Linked DNA regions of Lonchura striata. The protein of the gene in region 2 interacts with the protein of the main gene of each other region in a pairwise test. Links are inferred from orthologs where the notes say so. Each region holds a gene or a part of one and is shown on either strand. Other genes may lie near its edges.

Evidence for each region. The genes of interacting proteins can lie anywhere in the genome.
Region 1: the proteins of MAFG (region 2) and BACH2 interact in binary tests that used the Homo sapiens proteins (3 or more experiments, as listed by UniProt). The link is inferred for Lonchura striata from reciprocal best matches to the Homo sapiens genes MAFG and BACH2.

The regions. Positions count from the first base shown.
Region 1 is NC_134605.1:77,652,017-77,659,730, forward strand, and holds the start of BACH2 (transcription regulator protein BACH2), read left to right. Parts: upstream 1-4,636; 5' UTR 4,637-4,986; intron 4,987-7,714. UniProt on the Homo sapiens protein: Transcriptional regulator that acts as a repressor or activator. Binds to Maf recognition elements (MARE). Plays an important role in coordinating transcription activation and repression by MAFK.
Region 2 is NC_134621.1:11,960,960-11,968,639, forward strand, and holds the start of MAFG (transcription factor MafG), read right to left. Parts: upstream 3,092-7,680; 5' UTR 2,955-3,091; intron 2,052-2,954; exon of another isoform or gene 1,911-2,051; intron 1-1,910. Other genes in the region: PYCR1 (pyrroline-5-carboxylate reductase 1, mitochondrial), read right to left, coding at 5,501-5,651, 5,750-5,913, 6,298-6,390, 6,857-7,078, 7,680-7,680. UniProt on the Homo sapiens protein: Since they lack a putative transactivation domain, the small Mafs behave as transcriptional repressors when they dimerize among themselves.

The DNA of each region.
Region 1 (7,714 bases), on a different chromosome or scaffold from region 2:
CACAAAATACTTTTTGGAAAAAATGTGTAAACCTGAACGATTCCTGGCCCTCTGTTTCTTGACATACAAAGAGGTCCCTATATTCCCTTTTCATTATGTTACCTGCATCAATTTAAAACAGGTCAGTGCCTGCCCTGTTTTCCTACCTTGCTTCCTGTCACTGTAAGTTTAGTCCCAGCAACAATGTTGATACTTCAATATATTTCCAATATTATATCTCACCAGATCCTCAAAATTCCATGCCAGGGATCTGAAGCTCTGTGCATGACAAATGCTCCTTTGTGCAGCTTTTGATGTGATGTCAAGCCACGCTCCAGAGACGCTACACTGTGGATCTTTGATATTGCACACCATGACAATGTCTCCTTCGTAGCTGTCACCGCCACTGACTCAGGGCGTGCTGTTAGTACTGTCAGTGCTCCAGGAAATGTAACATACCTGGGGTGTGTTAGGACCTGCTTGTGAAAAGACATACGGTGCCTGTAGGATAATCAATAATCAACTGTGAATTTCTTAATCACTGTGAAGAAAATGATGCAGTGTCATTAAGTCTACCTGCATAACCCAGGAGAATATGTGCATAATTACCAATAATTACTTAGATCTCAGCACAGGACCAGAGCTTACACAGGAAAACTGGTATTTTTCAACCCAAATGCTAAAGGGCAAAATGTGCTTCAGAAGGAAATGACAACTTCCTGAATTAAAAATTTGCAAGATTTGTCCTTATTTTTCCCTTTTCACGCTTTCATTACCATTGTAAAGATCAAATTGCATAAGATCCACTAACGTGTTGCTCATTCAAAGTCTTTGAGTCAGCGTGGTTGAAGCCAAGACTGCAGTACTTGTCTTTCCATAGCACTTTAAATTAGGAATTGCCTCTCACTAGGAAAAAGCCATTTGTTTTTATAAATACATGACTGAAATACCTTGCAATACACAGAGCTCTCCAACAAGTGGCACTATTAAGACTATTCAAGTTACAAGATTGATATGCAAATGAGATCTCAGAAAGGGATGTTGGGACATGTTTTACAATATTGGATTCACTTTAAAATCTTTTAGATTTACATATGAAATATGATTGAAATATGTATTCATAATTCAGCTACTCTGGAAAGTTTTGTGTTATCCAAAAAGGAACCACTGAAAAGTAGGTCAAGTGCCATAGCAGGCAGTCCTCCTCAAAGAGATGAAGTCATGGCAGTGTGGAGAAACCACCTAATTAATGTTAGTAAAGGTAACATGCAACCAGGAAATTTGTCCATAGCTCTGAGTCAACACATGTTGTTGAATGTGTGGATGCAGCCTTTTCTGGAGGATGAGCTGCAGCATTCATGGCAAGTTCTCCTTTGAAGTATTCTTGGATCAACTTCTAAACTGTACCTCTTCACATCCATTCTTACCTTATTTTGTTGTTATTGCTTGACAAAATGGGTGTTGTTTTGAGACACCCACCATGATGCCTCTTCAAATAACTCATAGTTGGCTGGAATATATGTTTGGTTGCACTGCAAGAAAAATGGTCCAGAAATAGTTATATATAAAAAAATCTAGGCATGAAGATAGTTGATTGCAATGCAAACAGTATCAGACCAGATTCATTGCTGGAATATAAACAGTTTGGAAATGAATTGGGAAGCCAAGGCATTAAAATGTAAAATATGTGATATAAAAATACAACTTTTAAACAGTAGGCTTTATTTGGTTAGTATAATATTCCTTTTGGTTAATATAATATTCCTTCTGTATTTGGAAAGAACTGTCATCTTTTCCTCAGTTTTCTACTGTTATATGGAGATACAACAGCCATAATAAAATCATGATCCAAGTGACTTATGGGATTGTGAACTCTGCCTTGAATTATGAGTTGATCACAAAATGATTAATAGCATTTGGGTACCAAAAGCTTCATAGAGCTACTTGGTGAGCTTCTGTGCAGAGCCCCTGCTTAGCTCTACCTTCTTTCACTCTGTGCTGATATCTCTGTCCTGCACAAGCATGACCCGATTCACATTGAAGCCACTGCACATTTTATCACAGCATAGATTGAATAATAAAACCCAAAATGGACATTCTCACATTCCTCCTCCTTTTAGCCAAATAGTAGCATTCATTTTAAAACATCAGCTAGTAAGATAAATGGCAATTATTGTGCTATGGGCAGAGCATACATGGCGTGCTTTGTTTCCAGTTTGGATGGCTTTGACTACCTGAAGCCATATCTCCTGTAGTGTGCTGTAAATAACAGAGTATGTGCACTTTGAATGCAGTGGCATAATGGGCATGTAGCGTGCTAACTAAAGCATTACAAATGCTGCATGGCTTATTTTTATTTCTCTGTCCTTCTCATTATAGTATTTTTATCTCCCATGTCAATACAAAATTATTTTTGTGTCTGAGGGATAAACAAGGCAACACAAAAACTCAGCCCTACTAGTGTATAAACATGATGAGTCTCCTTACACCCTGTGGGACTTTTTGCATGCTTAATACCATATATGTCTGCAGAACCAGAACCTAAATGGCACTGGTGAGCAAGGCTTCACATGAACATTACTTGGAAAGGGAAAGTGACGTTTATGAGTCAAAATCTCTGTTGGGGTGCTATTCTGCAGCTACATGTAGCTAGGAAAAGTAGGGGCAAAATGGGGTAAGTAACTAAATGCTTTCCACTTTACACAAGTGGATAATAGTGCAAAATGCAAAATGGGGAGAATCACATTTTTTAAAAGTGACTATATGCTTCCCCTGAAATACAAAGAGTTGAATCTAGGTTGACAACATAGTTTTCTGTAGTTTAGCAGACTTCAAAAATGCAGGTAGCTGATGCAATTTCAGAAGACATCATTGAGAAAACTTCACAGGAATGGCTCCTTTCTAAAAGATACAGAAAACACAGTATATCATCTGGCTATAGTGAAAGGGGGAAACAGAGGATGAAAATACACAATGAAAACTGACAAACGCAGAAAAAATAACAAACATGCACATGTTAATTACTGAACGTGCTTTTGCTAGCAGTAGGTCACCATCATTCTTTATTGACATTTACTGCAACGGCAATTTCTTTTTCAAGATCATTGACCCAGGAAAATGTAACCCTCTAGTTATCCAACGCCCTTTAATTAGAGATGTCTCCAAAGATAATCTCACTCACGGCCCCTATTGTGAATCATTTATTCTCCAACTTTCCTTTTTATCAGCTGTCTTTCATCTTTATGTTTTTCTGTCCAGGCTCGGCTGAGTAACTCGGGCTTGCAGAATGCTAATGCTGCTTATTCATTTACCGGTTCTCCCAACTGCATTTCATGGCCACTGACATTTGGGGTCTCGCTCAAAAGCACAGGCTGCCGGCACCAGGATAATTTGCAGGAATCACAGCTTTCCACTTGGCAAAAGAAACCGTGGCACCAAGCCTCGGAGTGGGAAAAGGGTTCGGATTCGGGTGGTTCACTCACACACACACACACTCACTCACACGCACACGCACACACACACAGCCGAGAGGAGGTGAAGAACAATCCGCGCTCCCGCGTCGGGAACACGCGGTCGGGGTTTTGTTTTTGTTTTCAGTCCCGGGAGCGCTCACCTCCCCGCGCGATGCTCGGCACGGCTGACTCATGACTGCTGGGCGCTTGCGGTCGGCACTACAAGTAGGATGAGGTTTCTCCGGGGGGCGGAGCGCGCAAAATACCGCAGGCATCAACACCGAGGCGACCCCGCTGGCAGCCAGGGGTGACCGGGGTGGGTGTTCTCTGCCCTGCCCGTCGCACCCTTCCCAGTGCCTTCCCACCGCCACAGCCGCCGTAGCGGGGCCCCCTCAGTCCGCCCCCGCCGCCATGGCGGCCCCTCGCGGCGGACTACGGCTCCCAGAGCCCCCCGCGGCCGCCGGCGCGACCCCCGGTGCGGGGTCTGGCGGCACACGCACGCACGCACGCACCCCCTCTCTCGCGCGCACACACACACACACATATACACAAACAGACATGTATACATACATACATACATACACAAGACACATACATACATACATACACACAGACACACACATACATACATGCACACACACACATGCACACACAAACACACGCACTGCCGCGGGAGGGAGCGAGCGAGCCCGTGCCGCGCATGCGCTGACCGCTTGCGGAGGGGCGGGAGGGGCGGGGCGGGCGGAGCGCCGGCGGCGCCACCGCTATTCGCGGAGCGGCCGTACGCCGCTCCCCGTGCGTAGGGGCCGCGGCGGGCGTAGGCGCGGCGGCGGGCGCTGCGCCGTTGGCGTAGCGTTGTTGTGAATGGAGCGCGCGGCGGGGCGGGGAGGGTGACGTCAGCCTGCGAATGTCAACAATGTAGCGATTGAGGGGCGGGGGCGGCGCCGGGCCGGGGCGCGGGAGGCGGCGGCGGGCGGCGGAGCCGGGCAGCAGCAGCGGCCGCGGCAGCAGCAGCAGCACAGCAGCGCCGCCTTCTCTCCTCCGCCTCCACCGGCCGGGCTGCCACCGCCGCCGGCCCCGGGTGCCGCTCCGGCAGCGACACAGCCGCCGCGGTGCTGCTCCCCCTCCCCCCCCGCTCCGCCGCCCGCCCTCTCTCCACCCGCCCTCCCTCCGCTGCGGCTTTCTCTCCTCCTCCGGCCCCCCTGCCAGCCCTCCCCTCCTTCCCTCCCTTCCCCCTTTATTTTTCTCCGCAAGACTTTGGCTCTGGAAACAGCTGGTTCAAAGCAATCGCCATGTGATGATCGTCTGGGTCGGGTTTTTTTTTTTTCATTTGGGGGGGGGAGGGTGCAGGTTTCTGACCGCAGAGAAATACTAATAAGAATTTCCGAAACAACAGCAGCAGCAACAACAAGAGCAACCTCCCCCTTCCCCAAACCTCCTCAGCCGTAACAGCCCCCCCACCCCCGGGCCCACTCCACCCCGCCCCACTGCCTCTCCCACCTCCCTCCCAGGCTGCAGCGAGAGGGGCGACCCCCGAAAGTTGCGCGGAGGCGAGGTGAGTGCGCCTGTTCCGCGGCTCGGCAGCCCCGCCGGGAAGGGCAACGGGCGGGAGGGGGGCGAAGTTTGGGGGGAGGCTGGCCGTGCGTGGGGGGGGGCAGCGTGGCTTCTCCCCTCCTTCTCCTCCTCCTCCCAAGCACAGCAGCTGTTGCGCGGGGTCAGGCGGGGGGCTGCACCCCCGCCCCCGGAGCTCCGCGGGCTTTGCAGGCGCGCTTAGCGCTTATTCCTTAAAGTGGGAAATACGCGCGTTGCGTAACGGGGAGTGCGCGGCGGGCGCGCGTGTGTCCGTGCGCGCTCTCCGCTCCCCTCCGCGCTGCCTCGCACGGGCGGGACCCGGGCAGCCCCTCCGCCGCGCCCGGCGCCGCGGCCACCTGCACCCGCGTCCCGCCGCGCCCCCGCTGCCCCCGGTCCCGTGGGCTCGGGGAGGGATGCGAACTCCGGTAACAGTTTCTAGGATCCTTAAGGCGCGGCGTGCGGGCAGGGCAGCGCGCCGCGGAGACGCTGGCTGTCATGAAAGAGGCTAAGTGTGAAACCGTGCCTCTCCTTTTGTGGAGCGGGCTATTTTGGTCATGCAGCGGGTGTCTCGCTTAAATCGCTTCAGTTGCCGTGAGATCATTGTGCCCTTGTTATTGAAGCTCCGGAGTAAACCCCGGGTTTCAGTCTTTACTAATAAACGTGAGGCAGGGACGACATCTGATTAGAAATACTCTTTAAGATGTTGGAAAGACTGGGAAATTACAGCGTTCCTGTTTATTCTTGTTGAAGCCGTGTCAGTGTTTTCATGATGAAAGCCCGTTTTCAGAGACTTTGGAACTGTCGCTAAACTTGTGCATATTTTAATTTTTTTTTTCTGAGGCTCGAGCTGAAAACAAGTTGGGTTTTATTTTTTTGGGTTTTTTTTTTGAGCTGGGAATTGTCTGAGATTCTGCCGTAGCTAGTGGAATGCTCTGCAGTTTGGGGAGGGTGGTGATGCTTGGGTAAATTGACTTTTTTAGATATGTAAATACTGAAATCTGAGATAATTGCTGAGATGAGATGGGTAGAATAAAACGATAAGGTGGTGTGTTAGGCTTTTACTGCAACAGCCCCATAGACAACAGATCTAAACCACTGTTCTAGGAGCTTTACATGTGACAAATAGAAATAAAATTCCACCTCACATGTGGGCTTGCTCTTTTAAAAGCCTTGTTGCCTTTTGTGTCCACCCGCCTGCCCCCTGTCACTGGGATCTGGACAGCTGTGCAGCAGAATGGATCGGCGTTGTACTTCCCTGCCGTGTGCTGAACCTGAGCTTTCAGCGTTGCTTTTCACATTTGACCCTTCAGCTTCAAAGGCTGTTCTGAAGGTGCTCTGCAAGGAATGGAAGGAAGCCGTGACTAATTGGAAAAGTAGAGAACTGAAAAATCAGGATCATAGGTCTAGTTTTCTTGTTAGTTTCCTCTGTAACGCCGGGTGAGCCACTCAAACAGATGTACGCTAGTACACAGCTGCCAAGCGGGCAAGAGAGGTCCCTAGTGATTTTGGAGATAGGGTTCTCAGGATATTTAGTGATCTTTTGCAGAAATGCTACAGAGGAGCAGAGTGTGCATTTCTGGGCAATGCTGGACAACGCTGCTGTGAGACCTGAGGTTAAACAGATACAATTTTTTTAAACTTTTACCGTTGTGGAGGGTAGATGGGGAAGATGCACACAGTGAATAGATGATTAATGCACATGCTGACAGATGTGTTAATCAACAGCAATTGTTTATGTTGAAGTGTCTCACACTGGGAAACAGTTCTAGGGCAGGTACTCCTAGTCTTTTTCTGACCCAGAAGCACATCTGGAGCATCTGTTGGTGCTAATGTGCATGCTGGCAGATTGCTCTGGTGAGGTAGGTGGGATTCCTTCCTCTCTTTTCCTCTTGGCTTTCAGTCATTCATTTTGCAGCAAGAAAACATTGGCTGTTTGCTCTTTTGTGTTGGGGAGGAAGTTAGGCATAAAACCTGAGTTTATGAGGAGATTTTGGTAAATCTTTGACACTGGAGAAGTCTTCAGATACTCATTGAAATAATTAAGTCTCCATAATATATAGCAGTCTTACATACCTCTTTCTGCAAGTGCACAGTAAAAGACAAAGAGCTGAAAATAAAACCCTGTATAGATGACATGTAGTGTGGAATATGTGACAGAAGTTGCTTGCCTTTGCTTATTTTAAAACTTTTGTTGCTTGATTTTTCAGTTTGAAGTGACAGTTTTTCTTAATGAGGCTGCAGTGTGATTGCCTATTATTTTCTTCTAGGTTTTCTCTAAAGGTGTAGTGTAAAAAAAAAAAAATCAGGGTGTTTTTTTTTAAGAATAGAAATAGATGTTTTGTCACTGTGACATTCTTTTTGGGTAGGGCTTCACATATGTGCAGATAAAGAAACTTCCCAGACCATAGCAAAGAGAGGTTTATGGCACTAAGCTGAAAAATGAGATGGGTAACATTAATATATGCAAAGTAATCTTTTCAGTAGTAATGGCGTTTTTATGTAATAAACTTGGTAAAATTGAATAGTATTTATTGTGTGACATGAACAGTGTCTCTTGTGGTTTTAATTTAGGTGGTATGAACATGGTTTATGTATTCAAATCAAAATGTGTATGCCTTTTTACTCAAAGGAATACTTTGTGAATGGCTTCTTAGTTTATGCTAAGAATGTACCTGCAGTGTTGGGCAGGTCTGACTTAGATTTGAAGGAAT
Region 2 (7,680 bases):
TCCTGGCATGCCAGGGCCAGAAACACCTTCTTCCTCCTTATCCTAAGAGTCAAGGTGTGCTCACAAGAAAACAAAGATTAAACATACCAAAACTCAGAGCAGACTCCTTCCCTGCCATGGAAGACAAGACTTCAGAACTGGTAAGAGCAATTCCCAGGCCTGCTTTAAAGAGACTTATACCTGGGCTCCTGCTTCTTTCCCCACATATCTCCTCTGTGCAGGCTTTTCAGTTCAGACTGCTACTACACTGCCCAAGGAATTGATCCACACAGATAGCACCTGACAGACATGGCTGTATCTCAAACACCCCAAAGTGCACTTCCCTCTCAGCCCAGACTGCGCCCACTCAGCCCTGGCCAGAATTCCTGTGCAGCCTACAGGTACCCCTGACCCTTTCATCTTGCAGGTGTCAAACAACAATTTTGTCTGCCCCTGCCTTACTCCCAGCAGGACTGATGTCAAGTTACAGACCAGAACCAAATGCACACATCAGCAAATATGACTTAGTGCTCTTTCAGCAGCTGTGGCACAGGCTCCCTACAGTGCAACTACACCCTACTGGAGGTGAGCAGGACTAGCAGTCCCCAGAACACCAGCAGAGATATTCTGAAGCCTGCAGCCTGCCAGGAGCCAGGCTATTTATATATACCTAGAGGACAATGCTCCTTCCAACAAGATGTCTGCTACACCCAACCACACTGGCATAGGCACGGTCATTTACTGCCCAAGGAAGGCAGCTGCAGTGAGGCAGGACAGGCAGCATAAAAGCAACTGCTGCACAAAATCAATTCTTCCCTCCTTCCTAGACTGCTCTTTATTCCTTCTGTTCCTATCTGGTAAACAACATGTCTGCTAGGAAAAGGGGAGAGGAAAGGGAATAGCTGGAGACACCAATGTGCATGCCCCTGCAGCACTTGCGTTCCCTGTCCTCTTTCAAGTGGAAGGAGTCAAGGATAGGTATGGTCAGTGCAACCACAGGAATTTGCTCACTCTGTGGCACTAAAGAATTTGCAGCTACCTGGTAAGCACACAGGCTACCTTCATTACAGCAGACCCAAAATGGAACAAACAGGGCACATGCATGCTGCATCAGGCAGGGCACTGGGAAGAGCGCTCCTCAGCAGGCTGGGGAATGGCTGGTGCTGGCAAAGCTAGACACAGCAGAGGCAGCTACTCCTTCCTGCCCCTGCACACTCTAGCACAACACCCTCTCAGGTAGGAGCCTCTCACAACAGTCATCAGAGCTGCAACAGATTGTCCCCAAAAACCTGGTGATCCCACCTCTCCAAGGTGCAGAAACATGTAGGGCAGTCAGTAGAATGGAAAGAACAACCCAAAGAGTTTCCTGGGTCCTGTTTTAACTGGGCTGTTTGGCAACTCACAAGGAGGACATCCAGAGAACTGGCAAAATAGCAGAGACCAAACTTCGCCTTATTCTCCAGACTGCTGATGGATCAGCTTTTGATAGCTTCCTGAAGAAAGATCACACTGAAAAGTGCCAAATACTATGGCTGCAATGAAGAAACTGCAGCCTTGACACATTTCCCCAGTGCTCAAAAGGCCTGAACTCAGCACAAGCACAGCCAATTCTCCCCTCAGCTAGTGGCAGCACATGGGAACTGAAAGCACCACGCATGATCCACCATGGGCCCTTCTCCGCACTCCTGATGCAGAACCCTGCCACAAGCCCCATGTAAACATGGTGATGTCACCTGCTCCAGCGCGGGCAGAGTGAGGGCTGCGCTCCCACACGGGCTCCATGGCTCTGGCAGGCACAGGAGTGTGATTTGTCAGCAGCGAAAGGGGACACAGCACAGAAACACTCTCTTCCAGTGTGAATTTCATACTCTGTTTATTTGCTTGCTGGCAAATTGGCTCACACAGTCTCATCCAACGACTCCCCAAATTACCTGTGTAGCCAAGATAGTGCCTCCTCTGTTTCCTTGGCGAGGTCATCCAACCCTGAGCAATTTTTTCCTCAAGGAATCTGCCCACCCGGCTGGTTTTAACTCTGCTCACACTGCTAAAGCAAAGGGCCAGCTCTGAGAGACTCCCTCCCACCCTTGGCAGTGCCCTCCTCCGATCACACAGTTCACATATCCCGGGCAGCCAGAGACGTGCCCAGCTCGGAACAGCACGACCGAGGCGTGCACAGCACAGACGCACGCAGCCCCTCCGTGCCGGTCGCACACAGCATTCCCGCGGGAGTGGAAACCCACTCCACCGGGGGGACACTGCAGCGCCCAGCACCGGGCAGCCCCTACGGACCAGAACCTCCCACCCGCACGTCTGCAGCTACCGAGGACAAGGTACCGACAGCAGGCAGCGGGGCTGTGCTGCCTGACTCTGCCCTGGGAACCGGGCGAGACGCCCCGATGGCTCCTCACCCTCCCGGCCCTCCCGTTCTCTGGAGAAGAACGACAGACCACGGCGAACACCCGCGGGGCTGGGGGCGGCAGCCCGGCGGGAGAGGGGGACGCGAGGCCCCGCCGGGGGCCTGAGCGCCCGAAGGTGCGGCGGGGTTAAGAGGGGCAGGTTCGGCCTGAGGGCAGCCGGTCTGTAACCCGACCGGGGCATTCGACACCCGCGGGAGGGAGGGGCCGGATGCGCCCGCGATGCCTGCGGGCGGACCCGGGAGGCGGTGGGCAGGGCCGGGGCAGGCCCCGGGCCAGCGCCCCGCGCACCTGTTGCTCGGCCGCCGAGCGGGGCCCGGACACGCCGGGGCGGGGCGGGGCGGGGCGGGGGCCGGGCGGCGCCGGGCCGGCGCGACCCCAAAGCCCCGCTGTGAGTCAGCGGTGGCGGCCCCGTTGGGCAACTGCCGACCCCGCAGCGGCCCCGGCCACCATCCCGGGGCCCGCCGTGCCCGCCCCGCCCCGGCCCGCCCCCGGGGACCGGCCCGCCCCACCCCGGCCGGTGCCAAGGCCGCGCCCGCTCTCGCTGCCGGTGGCGCTCACCTCCTGCCGGGGCCGCCGGGCCAGGCCAGGCCGGGCGGGGCAGGGAGGCCGCGCTGGGAGGGACCGGGACTCACGAGCCGCCGCCGCCGCCGCTCACCGACTCGTCACGTGATATTTGGGTCACGTGGCTCCATTCATGAAGCGCCCGGCGCAACCGCCCCGGGCCTTAAGGGGGCCGCGCTCCCCGGGGGCAGCGGGGGGAACGCGGCCCGACCGGGACTGGCCCGACCGGGACCGGCCCCGGCCCGACCGGGACCGGCCCGGCGCCCGCTCCGCGCCCTGCCGGCGCCTCCCGCCGCCGCAGTCGACTTCCCGTCCCGGGGCGAGCGCTGCCGCTCCGGCAAAGTACTGGGTCGGCCGCGGATCAGCTTCCGCCGTCTCTGACAGCAGCCACCGGCCTCCTGCGCTCTCCCCCGTGGCACGTCGCGCGTTTCATAGCGCGCAGTCCCTCCGCCCGCACCGGCAGGGCCCTCGGCACCGGCGGCTCCGCGCTCCCTTTGAGCTGCGCCCGCGGTCCCTCGGAGCCCGGCTCCGTGTGCGGCGGGCCCCGCCTGCAGCGGTAGGGCCGGGACCACCACTGCTCCGAAACGCCGCTTTCCCAGTCACGCCGGGCTCGCTCCAGGTGTGTTCCCGGCCCTCCTGATACGATTCGGGTCCACGACACTCACACTGGTGCCTACTGTTTGATGCCATGCTACAGGCCAAGAAGGGAGGACAACATGAGCATACCAGAGAAGGGCGAGGGGCCAGTGGAAAGTCCAGCAATGAAAGCGGGCACAAGGGGTTAAGGAGAAACTGTGCCCCGTAGGAGCAGCAGGGGCTCGGCTGGGCCCGGATCCAGCAGCAGCTGCTCTGTGCACAGGGGATGTGACCGCACGCCTTGCAACGCCTCTTGTAGCCCCTGATGGGCTGGGTTTCCATCCGCTCTGGTGCCCACCTCAGTTACAGGTCTATAACGATCTAGGAAGTTCATCTACAGCTGTGTCTCTGGGAGTACCCAGGGGCACCCCCTTAATCTCCTGGCAGAGGGGGTCAAGTTCAGGCATCCATTCATTCTGCATCCCACTTTTTCAGCCAAGTGAGAACTCTTTCCACAACACTTCCTTGCATTTTGCATCAGGCAGTACTTTATCCGTCTGACCTCCAGCCTGGCCTGTCAGCACAGGTATTACAGATCCTGAGCAGGAAACCGAGGAACATATGAGACCCAAGGACTCCTGACCTAGTGGCCACTGCCAGTGGCAAGGGATACCCCCAGTCAAAGCAGTTGGGATTAGCCACAGCTCTCATCAGAGACACAGTTTTTTATGTAAAGAGGGAAGAGGAGTAACCATCTGTCATACCTATAGGGTCATACCTTGCTGGCAGTCAAAAGTCTTAACACTAAAAATACTTTACCGTCACCAGCACCTCAGAGACAGCAGGAAATGTAAAAACTCACTACCCCTCCACCTGCCAAACCACCCAAGGAAGGCCAGCAGTAAAAGAGGGGCAGTGAGAGGTCACAGTTCCCCAAACCAGACTGCGCAGAGAGAATGGGCAGCCGCTGGAGAGAAAAGGAGCACAGTCTGATGTTCATATCTCCCTAAGGGCTGGGAGATCGGACAGAGGCAGTTGGTCTGTTCCAAGAGGTGATTCTGGGCCCAGCCCATGATGCACCATGCAGTATGGACTTTGTGTGGCAGCATCTGCTCCAGCTAGTAACGCCAGCGACAGGACATAAGCTCTGACAGCAGGTGCAAGATGGGGCTAGAGATAATTAAACGTTTGAAACCAAAAGTTCTGAAACATCTTTAAAAATCCTGTTAAAAAAATTTCTGCATGGGACACCACAAACACTGCTTGAGTCCTGGAAGTACCCAAGGCTTCTGGACAAATGATTTCCTTGACAAAGCTCTGATGAGAGCATCACCCCTGCCCAAGAAAACACCATGCCAGGGACAGCTCACCAAGCCCACTACAAGTTAAAGACCCTCTGCTACAGCTGCTGCAAGCCACAAGCCTGGTACAGGGGACACCAACGTGCTGAGTATTTTTCCTTGGACAAAAGAGAAATAACACAGAGAACAATAATGGCTTAGGAATGGTATTCCCTGTACTAGCATTCCCACTGAAATACTCAAACGCTCACTCACTGCCCTCTTGTCCGTCTCCCTCTGTGGTGGGCTGGAGAGGAGAACTGGAGGCACAAAAGGTAAAGATTGTGGTTTGCTACAAGAACAATTTACTGGAAGCAGTAATGAGATAAGAAAACAAATAATAACAGCATCAATATTAAGAAAAGCGTAGAAGAGAGGTGAAGGATTCACACGTGGTTGCTCACCACTACTCGCGTCATGCAACCAGCCAGAAGGGACCCCTTCTTCCCACCCCTCTTCAGCCCCTCTCCCCTGCTTCAAGCCTTCCTCCCCCCCCTTTGCCCACACTTAAGATGCACAGAATAACCAGGGTCCTGGCCACCTATTCCTGGCTACTGCAAAAATTAACCCTGTCCTGGCTGCAACCAGGACATTGACATTCAGCACTGCCAGAATATAGCAGTCTGGTCAGTTCTTCTTGCTCTTGCTGGTGAACAGACTGACTTTGCTAGCAGATGCTACAGACAGAGAAGGAGACTCCAGCTTCACCTTGTCCAGCAATGTTTTCTTTATGGCTGCCGGGGAAATCTTCTCTTGGTCTGCCAAATGCTGCAGCTCCCTGCAATCGGGTAGTGGGAGAGGAAGACAGAAAAAATAAGATGGGGAGAGTGGAGGGGGAAAGTCTTGCAAACTCTTTAGGACTTCCCAGTTGCCCACCTTGTCCGGATACAGGAAGCCTCCACAGCATTGATGAGGAGTGAGCGAAAGCCGCCACTCTCCAGGAAGTGCAGGGCATGGATAGTGGCTCCCCCAGGTGAGCAGACATTGTCCTTCAGCTGACCTGGATGCTGCTCAGATTCTAACAGCATTTTGGCGGCACCCTGTAGCAAGGAAAACACCTGCCAGAGTTCTGAAAGAGGAAGCCACTGTCAGACACTCCTGTTCTCACTGCACAGAGCAGCAACAACACTCACAACAGGCAAACCTAGGCTCCTGCAGGCTGCCAAAACATTTTTCAGAACTGATGAGGCCTGCAAAGGAGCAGAGTTTCCCAGGATCCATCTCCCACAGCACCAGCAGCACCAGCAGAGTGCTGCAGACACTTCCTAGAGCCCCTCACCAGGAACCTGTGTGCATTCAAACCAAATCCATTCTTTAAAGCAGATTCTGTGAGAGGACCAAGATAATTTCAAACTGTGATGTGTAGATTCCTCTGCAAAGAGCAGGCACAGACTCAGATTTGTTATGCAGGAGGTAATACTGACCAGCAAAGCCTGTGCTCCCAGTCGAACTGCCAGCCTGCGGGGAAGGCCCATCTTTACTCCTCCATCTGCAAGAGCATCCAGGGCAGTGAATGCCTGAGACCAGAGAGGAAGAAGGTGACTGAAAGACTGCTCTAGGACTGGTCTTAGGGAAGAGAGAATCCAGGCCTTTAGGACTGTTCTGTGACTCCTATCACTCACAGACTTGACAAAATGCCTCCCTCTTTCATTCATGGCTGCCATGCCAGGCTTCCCTCAAACTATTTCCAGCTCAGGAGTGGAGGGAATGGGAGAAATTCAGCTTCTGCATCATGCAAACTACAGGCCCAAGTTTTGCAACATGGACATGTGGACACTGCACACTGGCTATGGACTTCAGACTCATCTGACTCTTAAAAAAATTTTCCTGCTGCCCCAAACTGAACACCTGGAATACATGTCCCATTGCAAATATGGGTGATGGAGAAAAAAAAAAAATACAAGCTGAAGTTGCACAGATTTTTTAGCAGGCAAGCCAACTGCTCTCCCTAAGACTGGCACTAGCTGATGAAATAGCACATACATACGCAGGGCCACTGCCACTGAGCCCCGTTACAGCATCAATGAGGTCCTCTTCCACCTCGGTGCAGAAGCCCACACTGGCCATCAGTTGTTCCAAAAGCTTCCCATCTTCCACATCCGCATGAGTTCCAGTGGCATAGACTGTAGCACCTTCCCGGACTATCACAGGGGTGTTGGTCATGCACCTGATCACTTTTGGTGTGGGGCAGAAGGTAGAGAGTTTCTTAGGGCAGAAAATCATTGAAGATAGAAAGTAAGAAAAAAAAAAAGAAAGAAGGGAGAAAAATGAGCTTTAGTGCATACTTTTCATCAATGGGCTGTCCAGGAAAGGACCCCCCCCACCAGGGGCAAGAACAACACAAGCAGAAGGAAAAGAGAGACCTGTGTATCTCAAATGTCCTGCTTTGAGTCACAGCAGCCCATCCGTGAACGTGAAGCCTTAGTCAGTACCAGCAAAGCAGGAGCTGGGCAAAATCAGGTTGGAAACAGTATCCCAAAGGCCTCAAACCCACATCAACCCACAGATCTCCAAAACAGCTCCTGCAGACACTTAAGACAAATTCTGCAGAAATTCAGGGGAGATGACCTACTGCTGGTAATAGAAACATAATCGGACAGCACCTCACGTGAGAGAAAAGCTGGATAAAACCTCTAATAGCATTTGCTGATGAAGACAGGCAAAGGTGACCAAAACCAAGTTTTTTGCTGCTGCGTGACTTTAGTCCTGAGTAGCACAAGTACGACAAGTCCGTCCATCGGCTCCGCGGGGTCAGAGGAGTGGAACCAGCTCCCGGCTCGCCCTGCACGGCCCGGTCCCCTCTCACC